Cricetulus griseus: one gene and its partners. The protein of the gene in region 3 purifies or fractionates together with the protein of the main gene of each other region. This does not show direct contact. Links are inferred from orthologs where the notes say so. Each region holds a gene or a part of one and is shown on either strand. Other genes may lie near its edges. The genes, in order: Pias1, Irf9 and Stat1.

Region 1 (3,654 bases), on a different chromosome or scaffold from region 3:
GAAAGCCACACCACAAAGGAGGAGGAGAGGCCTCAGGGAAAGAACATTTTTGGGGGGTGGGAGGTGGGGAGGGTCTCATTCTATATAGCAGGCTGATCTGGAACTCAGAGATCCACCTGTCTCTGCCCTCCCAAGTACTGGGATTAAAGGTGTACACCACCACACCTGGTCCAAGAGTAATTCTATTTACAATATTAACCAAAAATTGGTTCAATGAGGGCTAGTGAGATTGCTCAGCAAGTAGAGACACTTGCTATTAAGTCTATTGATCTAAGTTTGATCCTGGGACTCACATGGTAGAAAGAGAGAACCAATTCTTAAAGGTTGTTTTCTAACCCCTCCACACACATAGACACAAAACAAGTCTTTTAAAAAAAAGTGTGTGTGTGGGGGGGGGCTGGTTAACTACAAACAAAACTCTTAGTGATTCTGATATGTATCAGAACTACTGCATGCAGCAGAATCATTTTTTAAAAAAATTGTGTGTGTGTGTTCATCCCTGGAGGCTAGAAGGTGGCATCAGAACCCTTGGAGCTGAAGTTACAGGCAGCTGTGAGCCAGTATGTAGGTGCTGGGAACTGAACTTAGGTCCTCTGCAAGAGCACCAAGCACTCTTAATCATTGAGCCATCTTTCTAGGCCACAAGCATCTCTCGACACAATGAATTGTATATCCAAACTCTTGTAGTGCAGTACTCAATTGCTCAAGAATGCTATATCCCTGGGAAAAGTCAATCTACATTCTGCACTCAAGCATAGCAGTTTATCTGGCAGCCTTTACTCTACTTACCAAACAAGCTTTCACAAGAGAGTTTTTTGGAAAGATCCTAGCAGCACTCACCCTTTATTATTTAGTGGTGATGTAGGAGACAGGGAAGGACAGGTCCTCTTGGCAGAGGGCTCTTCCTCCTCTTCATCTGATGAACTGTCTATGGTTAGGTCAATCACCTCGACTTTCTTGTTTTTATTTGAGGACTGGTTGTGTGAAGTTACCTGATGCTCCAATGTGGAGCTCAAGCATCCTGTGTGGGAATGATTAAAGCACAAGACCCATGTCAAGTCTCTTTTCTCAAGTGTCCTTGTAGACAAGCATATCAGTTTAGAGTAGCAACACTATTGTAGCCAGAGTTGTAACACTGGCTCTGTTCTAGTAAGTTTAAAACTGCCACTTCTTATTAGTTGTTAATGAATTATTTTAAAAAAGTTTTGAATTAGAATAATCAAAATGTATCTTATGGCTGGCTGTGGTGACATAAGCCTTTAATACAGCACTCTAGAGGTAGAGTAACTCTGTGTTCGAGGCCAGCCTGGTCTACAGAGTGAGTTCTAAGACAGGCTCCAAAACAACACAGAGAAACCCTGTCTCAAAAAAAAAAAAAAAAAAAAAAGGTATCTTTTATGTCCATTTTAGAATAAAAGTTTGAGCAGGATTGAATGTTATATATGCTTATCTATACAGCATCCAAAATATCTAGGAAATACTAATATTTAAAAAAAATTTTGTCTCCTTCTAGCAAAACACTAAAGGTCAAATCTACCCACATATACATATAAATATTTAAAGAAAAAAGCAGCTAGGTGTGGTGGAGCACACCTTTGGTCTCAGTACTCAAGAGACAGAGAGAGGCAAGTGGAACTCTTGCGAGTTTCAGGCCATCTAGGGCTACACAGTGAGACCTTGTCTAAAAAAAAATCAAACAAACAAAAGAAAAAAAAGAGACATGGAAAAAGCAATGCTCACTACTCTGTACCAAAACTATAAAATCCTTTAAAAGGGTAGTGTACTTTAAAACTACGATTTTAGAAGTGATTTTAGAAGTGATTTTAGAAGTGACTTTAGAATACTTTGAAAGCTAGTACCATAAAAATCTTAAGACTGGCAAAAAAAGTTGATTTAAAAGGAATGCTGCTATTTGTGAACATTTCATCAATAACCTAACAATTACTGAGCTCAGAATGTTCAAAACCCTACATCCGTGAAAGTCATGGCACATCACAGTGGCAACCACAGATTTGTGAACAGCTACTCACCGTCAACTCCATTGTAGGAGGCAGTAACTTCCTGCACTTCCTTTTTTGATCTCATCGGAGCCCATGAGCCATCCTCCTTAAACTGTATTTCATCACAGTCTGTGCAGTACTTCAGGATCTCCATAAACAACCTAGACAAAAAATCTGTCCTTAGTACAGCAGCTTACATGAAGAGAAATGAGAAACATGACTCCTAAAACTCCTATGTTTTATACAAGTAATAAATGGGAGAAAAAGTAGAGCAGATAAAGTACATTTGTTCTCAAAACCTAATGCTAAATAGGAAAAAATAGTTACTCAAATTGTGGAACATTCATATAAAAAAGTCATGTAGCGCTGAAAAAAAAAAAAAGACAATTTAAAAATATTTAGTGTTTGTTATATGGGTATGTAGGTACCACAGTGCATTTGTGGAAATCTGAAGACAACTTGTAGGAGTTGGTTCTCTACTTCCACCATGTGGGTTCTGGGAATCGAATTCAGACTGTCAGCCTTGGCAGCAAGCACCTTTATTCACTGAGCCATCTCACAGGCCAAGATTTTTAAATACATAGATACATCTCAGTTCACAAAAACTGAGATGGTTAAGAAAAAAGATACCTCAAAACAAGATTCTTGGTGTGAGTAAAAGCATACACTAGTTATCTCTGGGTGGTGATTTTATATGTATTCAGTTTTCTTCTTTATGCTATACACTGGTAAATTGCTCATAAGGTCTTATTTGATAAACTGAAGCCATACATATAAAAATGTACAATCAGCCAGGTGGTGGTGGTACATGCTTTTCCCAAAACTTGGGAGGTAAAGGCAGGCACACCTGAGGCCAGCCTGGTTTACAAAGCAAGTCCCAGGACAGCCACTGCTGTACAGAGAAACCTTATCTCAACAAACAAACAAACCTAAATTAAAATAAAAAAAATGTATAACCAACAATTAAGTCCAAATACAGTAATACACTGGAACTAAAAGAATATTTATAGGAAATGCTTGAAATTCATTGTGACCAAATCATCTGGTAATAATGTTAAAAGAAACCAAAGACTAAAAGTTATTATTAATAGCATATAATCAGAATTTATGTAAAAATAAAACCAGAAGTTACATCAAAAATGGCTTTTATTTCCTGTTCTTTCCATTTTCACAGAAACAGATTTTATTTTAAGGAAAGAAAAAAAAAAAAAAAACCAAAAAGAAAGGAAAGATCATAGCCGGGCGTTGGTGGCACACGCCTTTAATCCCAGCACTTGGAAGGCAGAGGCAGGCAGATCTCTGTGAGTTCGAGGCCAGCCTGGTCTCCAGAGCAATTGCCAGGTTGGCTCCAAAGCTATACAGAAAAACCCTGTCTTGAAAGCCCCCCCCCAAAAAACCAAAAAAACCAAAACCAAACAAACAAAAAAACCTAAGATATATACTATACAGAGCTGGTAAAATATTACTATTAATTTAAATTTATAAGTTAGTTATCATTTCATTTATGACAAATCAAACAGGAAACACTGCTAATCATATTCTCCTAAGACTGACATCTTTAAAGCTCTGGGTTGTAAGTCTATGGATAAACACATTCAATTGCTTGTATATATTCCCTTCAGGCTCTTACGCCTTCTCATATACTATAAATAAA
Region 2 (3,018 bases), on a different chromosome or scaffold from region 3:
CTGTTTGAGGCTAGCCTGGTCTACAGAGAATTCCAGGACAGCTAAGGCTACACAAAGAAACCCTGCCCTGGGGTCGGGGGAAGGGGGTTCCAATGTATGAGCACACAGAACCTATTCTCATTTAAGCCACCAGTGGCTATAGTGCCGTTTGACTGTAGGCCTCTCTTAGAGATTGACTCCCAATCCTTTCCCCAGTTTGGTTGTCTGAACCTTGGATGGGGACCCCTAGCTTTGGAAGTACTAGGCCAAGTCTGAAAAACAAAATAGAAGGGTCAAGGATTGGAAAAGAGAGAAGGCAGTCATGGATGGTGGTCTGTGTCTGTAACCCCAGCACTTAAGAGGCTGGGAGAGGAGAATCACCATGTGTTTGAGACTAGGTTCCAGAGCCAGACAGCATTCCAGCTAGTCCTGCTGGCAGAGGAAAGCAAAGGAACTTGGAGAGGTCATCAGGAAGAGAGCCCAGGTACTAAATACCCAAGTCTATATCTTTATAATTCCCCTGTAACCCTGCTACCTCTCCCAACATAGCACATACTCATCTCTCTTTTAAAAAGCTTTTATTTATTTGTTGGAGACAGGGTCATAATATGCTACCAAGGTTGGCCTTGAATTCTCACTCTTCATGCCTCTGCCCCACAGGTGCCAAGGTTACAGATGTGTACTACCCTCCCCCCCAAGTTAAATTTTATTTAATTCTAGGAAGGAAACATAAAGTGCTTAGATTTAGAGTTAGGGGTTGGAAAGAGAGCAAAATTCCCTCTGATATCACACCATTTAGAACTTTCCAGTTCCTTAGAGATGAAAGAGGGTATATCTAAAAAAAAGGTAAATAAAAGTCATTCAGTCTGTCTCCCAAGTGCTGAGATTACAAATATTCACCAACAAGCCTGGCTCTCAAAATAGTTATTTTAAGGATAAAAAGATCCTGCACTACCAGCCATGTTGTATAATCCACATCGATAGTCAACACAAAGCAGGTAGACCAATGGTGTGGAGAACAAGACTATTTCAACAGAGACCTGAGGATCAGAGTGATAAAGCAGCAGATGGATGTTCTGGGTTCTGTAACAGAAACAAAGCGGCTTTCTGCTCCTCTGGAATTTTCTCCAGTAAATGCCGGGCAAAGGCCTGCTCCATCTGTATGGGAAGAAATGAGGAACAGGCCTCATGAGCACTGCAGGCACAGTCACTACCCCGTAGCTCCTCCCCCTTAGGAACAGTTCTGCAACCAATCAACGTTGACCTGGTTTTGGAGTGGAGCTCACCTGCACTGTGATAAGATTCTCCTGGGTGTGGCTGGAGCCAGGCCTCTCCTCCCAGAAATGCAGGGTTGCCTGGAACTTGGGTGGGGGGCCCTGGCCCTGGCAGTACTGGGCCAAGTCTAAAAGAAAGAGGATCAAGGATTGGAAGAAAGAAGAGGGAAGGCCAGGCATGGTGGTATATGCCTGTAACCCCAGCACTCAGGCTGGGGCAGGAGAGCTGCCATGGATTTGAAGTAGCCTGGTCTACTTAGGGAGTTCCAGGCCACCAGGAGCAATGTGAGAGTTGACTCAGAAACAAAAAGTAACAATATAGAGGGCCTTGAGTAAGGTGGAGCTGTCTGGGCAGTCAGATGCAGATATGAGAATGTGGTAACAAGGACACCAAGGTCAGGGCAAAGCTGTGGCTTAGAGATGCTAAGAATTAAGTGGTCTTCACGGTGCAGTAGGAAGGGTACCTTGGAGGCCTCAGAAGCAGCAGCCCTGGCTACCAACCCTTTGTTGTTTGCTTATACTCCCAACACTAGGGCACTAGGAGCCCAGGGACACCACGCTATCCTCTATGTTCCTACCTATGCTCACAATCAGAGGCTCAACTAGAATTTCATGGGTGGCCAGAAGGAAGGGACGGTCTTAGGAGATCCCCACAGCATGGTAGAGATGGTGGGGCGGGGCAAGTGTGTGCAAGATGTCTTGGCTCTTCCACAAACGGAGCTGTGCGTTGCAGTGTGTGGAGATGGTCGCAGGCTAAAATCCGTGTTAACCTGTTTGTACAATGCTCCCCCAAGATGTGCCACTCTTGTCTGAACCCAGCGGGACCTCATCTACCATGACCTTGGCGAGGGAAATGCTGCCGGAGCTGAACATACAGCTCCACATAATGTGCGGCACACGAGTGCAGGGGTGCCACGCACAGGCTGTGGTGACAATCTGCTGCCGGACAGGGGAGGGGGGGAACCCAGGTCAGGCCCAGGGGACAAAGAGACAGGGGTGGGTGCTGAGGTGCCCAGCTAGGAAGCCTTTACCTCTAGAGAAGCAGGTGGTACTGAAGAGCTCCACACACTTATTGCTGGGCAGCAGATGCGGACCAGGCCCAGGTGGGGCCTCAGGTGCATTCCAGGAGACGGGGATGGGACAAAGGCGCTGAACAAAAAGGCCTCTGGAATTGCTGGCCACCAGGATGCCTCTCTCAAGCTGACTCAGTAGGTGCTGGATAGGCTCCAGTGGATCAGGTGTGGGAAACACCACTTGTGGCATGTTGCTCTCCGAGACTGAGGGGTCAGCCACAAGGCGACAGTCTAGGCTCTCCACCGTGATCTCGCCCACCACACGCCCACTGTAGATGAAGGTGAGCAGCAGCGAGTAGTCTGGGAACAGAAAAGCCCAGCTGTATTAAGTGTGGGAGGAGCCTAAAGGCTAATAAGGGGCCCTCTTCTCATGTTGCACCTGACCAGCACAAAGTTTCAGAAAAAATGAAGTGCTCCAGTGTCCCCATTTTGTTAATGGGAAAACTGAACTCAGGGCAGGAATCCAAGCAAGCACTGGGAAAGACAAGGTTGCATGGCTGAGGCAGTTCCTTCTGAGTTAGAGAAGGTGTTTGGCTCAGCTGAAAGAATGGTTGCCTAGCATGCACAAAGCCCTGGGTTCAACACCCAGCACTACAATCAACCCTTGGCATGGTGCCACACATCTGTAAGCCGGATACTCAGGAGGATCAGGAATCCAGGTCATCTTGAGCTACACAGTGAGTCTGAGGTCA
Region 3 (3,654 bases):
ATGGCAGAAAGATTTATCGTAACAGGTGTATGGGATGGGGAGAGTGTTTCTTAAATGTAAGTGGTGTGGGTAGGTCAGCGCTAACTGAGATGTAGGAACTGAGGGTAAGCAGGATGAGGCTCCTTCACTTGGCCTGCCATAAAAGATCCCGCCCATTGCTAGGTTCCCACCCCTGCCGGAGGAGACAGAAGTGAATGCAGCAGGCTCCACAGCATCACTTCATCCCAGCCCCAGATAGTCACTCCAGAGACAGCCTCCCAACTGCTACAGACCGAAGTCTGGATCTTTGGGTGTGTGCTGCACTAAGGGCCTCTTCTCTGCAGCTGGCCTAACAGGTATGATGTGCAAAGTCCAACTACTTTAGACCTGAGGATGGCAATATCCTCTCCTCTGTGCTTTTGTTTATTCTAGTCAGGAAAGTACCTTCTCTAGGCAAAGCTCTCAGCCCTCAGAAAAGGAGCCAGTGATTTAAGTCTCCTAGGAAGGCCTGTGACGAATGGCCCTGGGGTAGCCTCTCCTCACTGGCCAGTCTCAGGACCTGCATGCAGTTCAGCCCTGAGTCCTGGGAAGAATTTCAGATCTGTTTATTTGATAGGGAGGTTAACAAAACCAGCATGTAAAATAGTATCTTAGATGAGATTAAAGAAATCTTACTTATCAAATGAGACTTTCACTTTCAAATTATAATTCAGCTCTTGTAATTTCACCAGCAGTCTGGAAAAAAAATAATAGTCATTACCTTAAAAAAATAAACTATCGACAAAAATTTATTTATTAAGCAAATTCCCCAACTGTAAGCATTTATGTAAACCACTCTCTTCACTTTTAGATTAGGGCTATTACAATGAACTGACAAGTTTGTATATATATATTTGGCTTTTCTTCTTATGTATATCTGTAGAATCCATTCCTGGCTGACAATTCTGGGAAAAATTCTAATACTAAACTCTAACGGAACACAACACCGACTTTACCTTCTAACAAAAGTTAATGAAAGCAGTGCTTTCGTATGTAACCCACCAACACAGTTCTAACCCAACTGCCCACTTTTGATCAATACTATATGGGCAAAAAAGTAAACATCAGTCCTTACAAAACTTGTATTTAATTTCCTGTGCTATTGGGAGAAAATATAAAGCACCACCAAGAAATTAAATTACAACTACTACCCATAACCAGAAAACAGCAGGACGGCACCCGAATACTGGTGGTGTAGAAGAGAGAGTAGATTAAGACTCCATGTACTCTGCTCTGATAGCTAGAGACTGTGGTGGTGGGGAGGGGCTTGCAGCCTCTGATGGGGAGCAGGTGATGGGGAGTTTCCTCTTTCCTACCAGTTATGAGTTCTAGGTTTCACTGGTGCTTATGTGGGCTGCTGTAACACTGCCTGCCAAAGAAACAGCTCCTATGTACACACAGCAGCAACCTGCAGAAGACAAGCCAGCTCTGCAGTGTCTAGTTGCTCATCCCCAGAGCAAAACTTGTTGAGTGCAGCCACTCCCTAGATGTATAGAGCATCTCTACAACTGCAGCAAGGAGTAAAGCAGGTGACATTCAAATATAATCCTAGTTTTAACAACTGAATTGCTGCATGCCATATATTTACACACACTTTTGTATGTGAAACACGCACACATGTTTTTATGTTTATGGACAAAATTATAGCAGAATAGACATGGAATGTTTACTGCAGATGTCCACATATATTAGATCATAGACCACTGATTCAGCCTGGTGAAGGACATGAATTCACTCACAGAAAACTGTACATGCCATAATCTACACTCACACACTATTTCAGTGTCTATCTGGGAGTCATAAAGCTCCATTATGAGCCTCTGCTTATCACAGGGAAGGCTTCTGGGAACTTTAATTGCGTGTTATACACATTTCTGAAATTCTAAGTTCCTCTTAAAATTAGAAAAAATCAGGTACATGTGTATATATGCAACTATACTAGTTATAGTTTGAGCATAATCCTTGGCTCTTCAAAGTAAGAGTTCATATTAAAATGCCTATTAGAAAACTGTTTTCTCTGGAGCACTCTATATAACCATTTTATAAAAGAAAATTAAAAGGCTAGATGTGGCGGTACACATACCTATTATCCCACCACTTAGAAAGCTGAGGCAGGAGGATTATAATCTAAATCAAGTCAGGGTTTAAAAAAAGGGGGGAGACAGACATAAATTCTGGGACAGGCAGCATATGGGACTATGTCTTCATTACCTCAACTTTACAGTGAACTGTACCCCAGTCTTCAAAACCAGTGGCCTCTGAGGATGAGTTGGCATACAGGGCTGCCGTTCCACCACAAATGAGCTGTCAACATTCAACAAAGTATAGATAAATTAGCATTTCTATAAAAGTTAAAGCAGTTAAAAAAATGACTTTTTTACCAAAGAGGAAATAGATGGAAAAATTGAAGGGCTGAAAACATTGGAGCACTGAAAAATATTTTGGGAGTCTGACAAACTGGGTAAGAAAAGTACTGTCTGCTCTAAGTGTGGAGTGGCCTCCAGGTCACTGGGAAAAGGGGCCATGAAGGTGTAGCCTGAGGGATCCATGTGGCTAGCAGGTAATGAAGGACCAGACCAAAAGCCAGCTGTGGGTCTCAGAGCCTAGGAAGAAAGGCTGCGAAGGGCTGGTTGGGAGGCTGCTGTGGGAGATTAGAAGACTGGATACGGGAGCCTGGCATACGGTGAGAAGAAGACAGGCATTCAGAGGTCAGACTTGCTGGGCTAGACATATGGACTGGCTGAGGGGCAGAAGGAGTAAAAATTACCACACTTCCTCTAGGAAGCCAAAATAAGGAAGAGGCACTGGCACAAGCCACGCATTCAGGAAGAATCGAGTGCCATTAAAAACTTGCACAGCCCATCAAACCCTTCCCAACTGTCTGAATGGCCATAGGTGTTCTGGATAAAGCCAAGCCTCCTGGGCTTACCTCTGAATGAGCTGCTGGAAGAGGACAAAGGTACGATCTGATAACACCTGCTTGTTTTTTGTAATAGGGTCCGGTTCATATGTGAATTTCTGTTCCAACTCCTCCAGCTTTTTAAGCTGCTGACGGACCTGCTGCAGACTCTCTGCAACAATGGTGAACCTGGGAAGGTACAAGACATGAGTCTCAGTGAGCCACAGTCCCAAAGCATCCTGGCTTAAAGACAATTGCAGAATCAACATGTGGTACATACTTCACACTCAGGGAGACATGGGAGATGGAGGCCTGGGGTAGCATTAAGCTCAGTGGCTTGTAAAGACTAGCATGAACTGAAGAATTACAACATGGTTCTGAGAGCCACTGTCCTGGATGTTTTGTGAACTTGACACAAGCTATAGTTTTCTGGGAAAGGAACCTCAATTGAAAGAGAGCCTCCATCAGACTGCCTAGGCAAGCCGGTATGCATTTTCTCAATTAATGACTGATGTGGAGGACCCAGACCACTGTGGATGGTACCAACCCTGGGCAGGTTATCCTGGGGTGAATAAAAAGCAGGCTGACAAGCCAAGAGGAGCAAACCTCTATATGGCTTCCTGAGTCCAGATTCCTGCTTTGGGTTCCTGCCCTGACTTCCCTCAATGATGGAGTGTGAGCTGAGAGTTCTAAGCTGAAATAAACCCTTTCCTCCTCAAGTTGCTTTTAGTCATGTT

Evidence for each region.
Region 1: the proteins of Stat1 (region 3) and Pias1 purify together in Homo sapiens (affinity purification with western blotting; 5 studies listed by BioGRID). This does not show direct contact. The link is inferred for Cricetulus griseus from reciprocal best matches to the Homo sapiens genes STAT1 and PIAS1.
Region 2: the proteins of Stat1 (region 3) and Irf9 purify together in Homo sapiens (affinity purification with western blotting; 5 studies listed by BioGRID and IntAct, with this or other methods). This does not show direct contact. The link is inferred for Cricetulus griseus from reciprocal best matches to the Homo sapiens genes STAT1 and IRF9.

What each region holds. Positions count from the first base shown.
Region 1 is NC_048597.1:174,375,606-174,379,259, forward strand, and holds part of Pias1 (E3 SUMO-protein ligase PIAS1), read right to left. Parts: intron 2,162-3,654; coding exon 2,031-2,161; intron 1,022-2,030; coding exon 841-1,021; intron 1-840. UniProt on the Homo sapiens protein: Functions as an E3-type small ubiquitin-like modifier (SUMO) ligase, stabilizing the interaction between UBE2I and the substrate, and as a SUMO-tethering factor. Catalyzes sumoylation of various proteins, such as CEBPB, MRE11, MTA1, PTK2 and PML.
Region 2 is NW_023276807.1:210,814,624-210,817,641, reverse strand, and holds the end of Irf9 (interferon regulatory factor 9), read right to left. Parts: intron 2,627-3,018; coding exon 2,285-2,626; intron 1,382-2,284; coding exon 1,266-1,381; intron 1,138-1,265; coding exon 1,027-1,137; 3' UTR 541-1,026; downstream 1-540.
Region 3 is NC_048595.1:403,706,724-403,710,377, forward strand, and holds part of Stat1 (signal transducer and activator of transcription 1-alpha/beta), read right to left. Parts: intron 3,107-3,654; coding exon 2,948-3,106; intron 2,323-2,947; coding exon 2,230-2,322; intron 715-2,229; coding exon 655-714; intron 1-654. UniProt on the Homo sapiens protein: Signal transducer and transcription activator that mediates cellular responses to interferons (IFNs), cytokine KITLG/SCF and other cytokines and other growth factors.